Linked DNA regions of Tribolium castaneum. The protein of the gene in region 2 interacts with the protein of the main gene of each other region in a biochemical or structural test. Links are inferred from orthologs where the notes say so. Each region holds a gene or a part of one and is shown on either strand. Other genes may lie near its edges.

Evidence for each region. The genes of interacting proteins can lie anywhere in the genome.
Region 1: the proteins of Fs(2)Ket (region 2) and Kap-alpha3 form a complex in vitro, tested with the Homo sapiens proteins (2 studies listed by BioGRID and IntAct, with this or other methods). The link is inferred for Tribolium castaneum from reciprocal best matches to the Homo sapiens genes KPNB1 and KPNA4.

What each region holds. Positions count from the first base shown.
Region 1 is NC_087398.1:4,899,580-4,903,246, forward strand, and holds the start of Kap-alpha3 (importin subunit alpha-4), read right to left. Parts: upstream 2,910-3,667; 5' UTR 2,531-2,909; coding exon 2,468-2,530; intron 2,374-2,467; coding exon 1,675-2,373; intron 122-1,674; coding exon 1-121. Other genes in the region: endonuclease/exonuclease/phosphatase family domain-containing protein 1, read right to left, coding at 3,300-3,577. UniProt on the Homo sapiens protein: Functions in nuclear protein import as an adapter protein for nuclear receptor KPNB1. Binds specifically and directly to substrates containing either a simple or bipartite NLS motif.
Region 2 is NC_087398.1:2,427,040-2,430,794, forward strand, and holds part of Fs(2)Ket (importin subunit beta-1), read right to left. Parts: coding exon 3,308-3,755; intron 3,174-3,307; coding exon 2,396-3,173; intron 2,168-2,395; coding exon of another isoform or gene 2,167-2,167; exon of another isoform or gene 187-2,166; intron 34-186; coding exon 1-33.

The DNA.
Region 1 (3,667 bases), about 2.5 Mb from region 2:
CCTCCTTGTGGCTGAGGAGAGGGATGAGTTTGGGCACGACGCCGCTGTCGATCACCATTTGAATTTGTTCGTTGCCGCCGTCGGTGAGGTAACTTAATGCCCAGACCGTGTCGACTAAAATCTGGAAGAGCAATTTTTTTTTAAATGCTACAGCCGAAAATCCAAATATCGTTTTGTATGTGTCCCAGAAAAATTTAATATCGATAAATAAAAAAAATAACGAGAACTTTGCAAGGTTTCTAATGTCATTTATATTATTCCCCAGTGATGTTTTATCCTAAATAAAATGCGAATTTGTCAAATAGAATTTTTCGGTAAAGATGCACTTTTGTGAGGTCATTAAAATTCCTTTTTCGGCTTGTATTTATATGCATTGTATTTTTTAAAATACAAAAGAATAAACAAATAAAAGAATGATTCAGAATCAAATAAAAAAATCACCTCCATAATATTGCACAAAAAAATAAAATAAATGAGAGTGCCTCACAAAATGAAGTCAACTTGAAATTTTTTATAGTATTTTACCAAAATTTACGATTACACATTTATTTTCCACAACGTGAATTCTATGATTTTTTAAATAAAAGCCAACATGCCACAATTACATAAAACAACAAAGGTAAGGAATCTGTTATAATTAATAAAAAATCTTAATAGTATTATGTACATAAATATTTTCACGTTTCATTAAAAAGTACAAAAAACAAACCGCAAATAAATTAACCACACTGTTTGTTATTGCTGCCACTACACCACATAACAAAAATCCATTTTTAATTGTTTATGTTAAGTAGCTTCCAATGTCTTCATATTTTTTTATTTATTATTTATGCAACATTCCTGACAATGTTATCTAAGGACTGACGAATCAAGCCTACGAAAATTATCAAGGCTTATTTTGCCTTTGAAATTTGTCGCCAAAGAGACTAAAAATCTACTTTCAGACGAGAAGGACATGGAAAAGTTTTAAAATAAAATTCCAACGTCTAAAAAATTTCAAACTTTCAGTTTCTGTTACTGACACTGAAACCAGGGTTTTTCTTTCAATTATTTATAGAACCCTTCTATACAAGTGAGAATAAATGTTAATTATCCCAGAATGTTTTGACAGCATCTCAAACAAATATTTTATTTGTAAAATTGTCTTTCTTGATATCTCGTAATTCTTGATTCTTGATAACGTTTTTGTGACTATGTGACCATCGGTAAGAATAATTTAAATGTAAAGAAAATATTTCTTGTTTAATTTAACTTCATATTCTATAAACAACCCCGGTTTGAGTCACAAAAACCTGAGTCACACCTCCTAATAAGTGAAAACAATTATAGCTGACCTACTTCTGAACTTTTAATTAATGAAAATTTTATGAATGATTCTGCCAACGTAAAATTTGTTTATAGAGCCAAAGTACTGTTTTGTTTATTACGTCGTAATCAATACTAACAAAACAACCGAAAATAATGATGAAGACGTATTTTTGCAAATCATTAAAATGGACAAAGAATAAATTGCGACCTTGACACCAATCTCGCACCGTTGAATCCAACATTTTTAAAACTCAGACGTCATTAAAGGTGAACTTTTTTTTTTCTTCCCTTTTTTATATTTTTTTCACACGTAACGCAAAGTATGAGACTGCTCACCTTTGTGACTCTTTTCTGGTACATACTCACATTGGTATCTGTGTGGTGAATAAGCGCATTCAAGGCGGGTAACAACTCCCTAATAGTCTGTATAGGCGGCGGGGGATCCTTGTTCCTACACAAATTAACAATAACCCAGGTGACGTTCCTCAAGAACGAAATCGGAACGTCGGGTTTAATGAACGAGAGAAGTGGATTAACAACACCGAGCTCGATAACATAGTCTCTTAACTGCGGCCCATCGCCGATGATATTCCCCAGGGCCCAAACGGCCTGTTCACAGACGTTCTGCTGGGGCGAGTGCAGCAGCTTCAGGAAGAGGGGCACGGCCCCCGCTTGCACCACCCTGTTGGTCTGCGCGGACGTGCCCGAGGCGATGTTCGTGAGCGCCCAGGCGGCCTCAAACTGCAACGAGGGCTCGTCATACCGTTCGAGACACATCACCAGGACCGGCAGGATCCCGCTGGAGATGAGGGCGTCGATCGGGGGGTTCCTGTCTGAAGACAGCAACTTCCGCGCGGTTTGGATCGCCATCAGCTGCAGCGGGGGGTTGTCGATAGCGGCCGCTTGCGCCACCAGTTCTTCCAAGTTCGTGGTGGAGAGCGACTTCTCGATGTCGTCCTCGTCGGTGGAGTCCACCACGGGGACATTGCGGCGCTTCTGGAGGGTCTCCTCGCGCTTGTTCTTGCGCAATTCCACGGTGACCTCGTTGCGCCGTCTTCGCATTTCCTGGGGGCACACGGGGCGGTCAGAAGGGGCGCACCGGACGGGTGTTTCGGGAGTAAGGGAGCCGGTGGGGCGCAAGGAAGGGCGGGGTACTTACATCTTGGTCTTTTCCCTTGTTCTTGAAATTCTGGATGCGATTCTTGTAACCTGTATCCGCCATTTTGATAGATTTGACAATGGAGGGCTGATGAAAACACGAGGAAAAGCCGGGTGGCGCTCTTAAAACGTAAAAGACTCGATTTGGCGTTATGATAACATGAAAAATGAAGGGGGAAACGTTCGGACGCGATTATCACAAAATTACCGACTGATTTAACGTAATTTGGGTATTTTTTTCATACCCATTTGCTACAAAGATCGGTTGCACAGGTTGCGCGCACGGTGGCAAACACAACGGAAGGACAGCTGATCGGGAAAATTAACACAATCTAAACCTTATTAACATTAAAACCACAACTTTTCACTGTAGGCTCAAAATCAAGCCAAATTTATTGTTTCAATGGACACTACACCTTTATTTGCAATAATTTCGGCAAAACTTTCAGTTTTTAAAGTTGGCACGCTGATGTCAAGGTCACACTTTTCACGTGCGGTGCTTACGCACTCGATTGTTTGTTGGACCGAACTTGTGATAAATAAAACTCACTGTTAATAAAATAATATTTATTAAATAATTACAAATACAAGACTAAGTTGTTACAGTACAGGGAGTACGAAATCGGGGCCCTTTATTGCAAAATTCGCCCGCTAATTTTTTTGAAAATTTCTGAACAAAAACACAATTTCAAAATAAAATCATCTGTGCCCCCACATATTTGTCTTTAAAGCTTAGAAATAAAACCGTCCGACACACAGCCATAAATTTGTAAAATTTACGTGAAGTATACCCAGTCAAAAATAAATAAAATTAAATACAAAATAAGATAATATCACAACGCCGTCCCAGAATTGGGGTTTAGAAACAATTCCATCCAGACGGGGCAAAAAGGAGACGCCGGTCCGCCCCAATTCCACCCATTGGGAATGGCCAAATGGGTCAAACCTTGCTGTACCACCCCATTAATACCCGTAACTTGCCCTTGGATTTTGTTGTTACATAAAATATTTGATATGTGTTGTGGTTTTAAACCCAACTTCGATCGCAAATAACTCGTGTTCATCGAACTCGGAAAGGCTGCTTGGAGACCCCCGATTGTCAACCAGTCGTCTGCAAACACGCCCACTGTCATTCACAGCCTCCTTGATAGATAGAGAACTTCGTTTTTTACGGCTTGTCGCTAACTTCGCATTGCATGCC
Region 2 (3,755 bases):
GGAGTGAGGTTTATGAGATTATTTCCCGCTTGCCTGAAATCAATCACTAATCATATAAATTACGGTGAGAGTCAGTTGGGGCGATGCAACACGAACACAGACACAACCCTGGATTTATTCGAAAAGTCTTACCTTTGGTCGAATTTTGCGAAATTTTGCTGCGGCTGGGTGAAAGAAAACAGGGTGTAAAGAAAGGAAACATTTATTATCCGTACAACTACAAAAATCCCAATTCTGCGGGAGTGATCCCAAGCGTTTGGGAGGGAATTTAAAAAGTGAAATATCCTAACTGAAAAGGCGTGCAGGGAATTTAACTTAACAAAATTAAAATCTAATACAATTTTGATGAATTGGTCAATAGGCACCCTAGACATGGTAACATTTTTAAGGGAAAAGAAGAAAAGTAACCGGTGTTCGACAATACCAAGTTTGGAATAAGCCGCATTTTGCGTCAACTTTCATACGGCATTTGAGCTTTACTAGGCTATTTAATTAATAAATTCAGTCTTCAGAACACACAGAAAACCATATTGTCAAACATCGGCGCGTTTGGGGTGATTACAGATTAACAATCAACATGGCACAATCAAAACAAAACATTCAACCAATAAAATATGCAACCATAAACATTTCCACTCAAAACCCTTCCAATTAATTGTAACGCAACCTTTTTGCACATGAACATTCGTAGAATTCGAAATAATTTTAAAAAGATCATGGATTAAAATCACACTTTGGCTGGTTCACAAAACCATAAAAATGAGCTTTTTAAAATTAAATATCTCGGTGTGCATAAAACAGTTAGAAGCTTCAATAAATAATTTAGGCCAGTAGAAATTCTTACACTACTTCATAATAAAATTCTTCATACTTCGTACATACAAAATATACAACCACACTACTTACATACTATACAAGTGATTTCATACAGCCTTTGAACCCAGACGTGGGCAATAGTTAAAATAACCCATCGCTAATGTACCTTCCAAAACAACGAAGGTCGCTTAATGGACTAGTGATAAAAATAAACACAAAAATTGGTTTATTTCAATATTGCCCACGGAAAAATATCACACATACAAGGAATTTATAATTATAATTCTAGAATTATAATTACGAAAACATTGAGAAGGTTTCGTTATACGCATTTAAAAAACTAATGGAATTTGAATGTATCTTTTTCGTGTTTTGGCAACTACAGAAACCTTCTCAAATCACAGATTCTTTTTTACTTTGTTGCGATACCCACCCTCCCTTTCAAGCACTTTCGTATATTTAATCAGCGTGTCGACTTATACGAAAAACTCGAAAATTTTCATACACCACCCACGCAAGGCACAATCAGGCCTCACAAAAATCTTTCATAAAAAATACCAGTCACAAGATTTATTATTCTCAAATTTCCTGAGTATGAATTCAGTGAATTGGAAATTGTTTCAAAAAAATCAACCAGGGAAAAACCGAAACACGCTCCTCTGGACAGTTTTTGATTATCGCAGTCTTTTGCTTTTTAAGAGAAAAGTTAATATAAATTCGCAAAATCTAAAGAAGCACCAGAGCGTGTTTTGCTTTTTTCCGCAATGAAATTACACACAACTTCAGCGAAACAAAGAAGCAATAATAAATCAGGATTTTAAGATTACTTCTGTCTGACTGCAGTGCATAGGTAATTTCTTCACCAAAGACCATTATAAAAATAACTACTTATGATTAATTCGATATGTGAAATAGACAAATGCTTTTATTGTAATCAAGTACAACACTAAAGTGAAGACGAACGTAAAAGACGCAACAAGTGATAGAGGAGACACCACTTCACTCTTCAGTCTTGAGCTAAACCGCCTTTCACGAAACCAGGCGAAGATTCAGACACTATTCACAAGCGTTCACAGCTACGATTAGCACTCACAGTTTATCAAGAGTCCATATGCATCAGCACTCACTCTGCACCCCGAAAACCGAAAGTATTGGGGAACAATACCATGTCAAACTAGCTGACCAGCTTTACTCAACCGAGAGATGAGCAAAACTGGTCCGACTCAGCCAAAACGAAAACTAAAGTCTGCAAGAATTTTGGTTTTATGTATAATGCGAATCCAATATCGATGCCGTTGACCACACCTTCGTTAGATTTCCTTCTGTTAAACCACAACATGCCAAAGAAAATCTGAAACCATCGAAAGCACTGTCAAACTTCGCTCAGCACACCGATTTTCGCGAGACACATACAGTCCAACGCCAAGTCTCAAACGCAGCAGATCCAACCGACCCACCACAACTAACTTTATTTTAATTTTAAAAAAATCCCAGCTATAATTTTAATAATGTCTGTTTTATATTATTTGTAACGATTTTTTGCCAATTGGATCTGCTGAAACTGTCCACTCCCACTTACCAACTAGCTACAGCGGCCGTCGAATTAGCCTTCAACTTGCGCAACTCCTTCGTAGCCCAAGTGGCCAAAGTTCTAGTACGATTAGTTCCACTTCGTCTGCCTTTCGCCAACATCTCGTTGATCGGCTCCAAATCCAGGAGTTGTAAAAGTGGTGCTCCAAAAGCCGTACAGAGATCCCCCACCAATCCGGCAGCCACCGCAACCGTGGCATCAGAATTGAACGTGTCTTGTGCCACCACGGTTATAAATTGAACGATGAAAGGAATGTGCGGTTCGAGAATCAAAACGTCGGGATTAGGTGTCGGGCCATCGCCTTTTAAACCCTGTACAATGCCCGTGTAAGCATCAAGTACACCTTCGCGTAATTCGTTCAAATAATCGACCATATCGAAATCATCTCTATCGACTTGTGCCTGCGACGCCTGCGCTAGTGTTGTGAGAACAACATCGAGGTATTTTTTGAATTCGGGGCCGATACTTAGGACGATATCGCCGAACACTGAAAGAATCTGTGGCTTGACGCTACGGTGGACCGATTGATCGCCGAGATTTTCGAGCAGAAGAGTCATGATTTCGTCGCAATAAGGAAGAGCTTTTAGTTTGAGAGCGCGGAAAATGTCACCGGTTAGACCGACTGCGGTACCACAAACTTGGTACTCTTGGTGGTTTTTAAGGCCGATGTAAAGAAACGGCTTGAACGCGTCCATGTATTTGATGAAACCTTCACCGAGGACTTCCACCAGGGTTGACACTGCCATCAGTGCGTCCTCTTGTACACCTAACACAAACAACGTTTAATTCCCGTACTTATAATTTTTTATAATACGCCTTCAAACTAAAATCTTTAATACAATTCACTGTAAAGTGTAAGCGAAAGATTTTATTTGAAGGCGCATTTGGCTGGTGAATTACCTCCACTTTTGCACGAATTCGAGTTGAACATGGTCAGCATAGCAGTCATGATGGCGTCGGATATTTGCGGCGCGTCCTCTGGTGTAACTTTCCTCAAAACCGACTGAAGTGTTCCGCACAACAACGACTGGAGATCATTAAACTGTGACCTATCATTGTGGCTCGTAATGTGTGTTTCCATTTGTAAAACTTGTTGCAAACGTTCAAGAATCACCATTGTTGTCTTTTGTACGGTGACGTAGCAATCTTTCGGTGAATTCTTCACCATTTCCATCAAAGCCTCGTAGGCTGCCGGTCTGAGATTAGCTTGAGCGCCGTCTGGACGGTCCGTAGTCTCCAAAAGCCGCTGAATTATATACTCAAAGTATTGTGACAACATGTACGTATCGGGAGTTCCCGTGTCTTCGTTAGTTTCAGCTGCATCGTAGGCGGCTTCAGCCAATCCAGA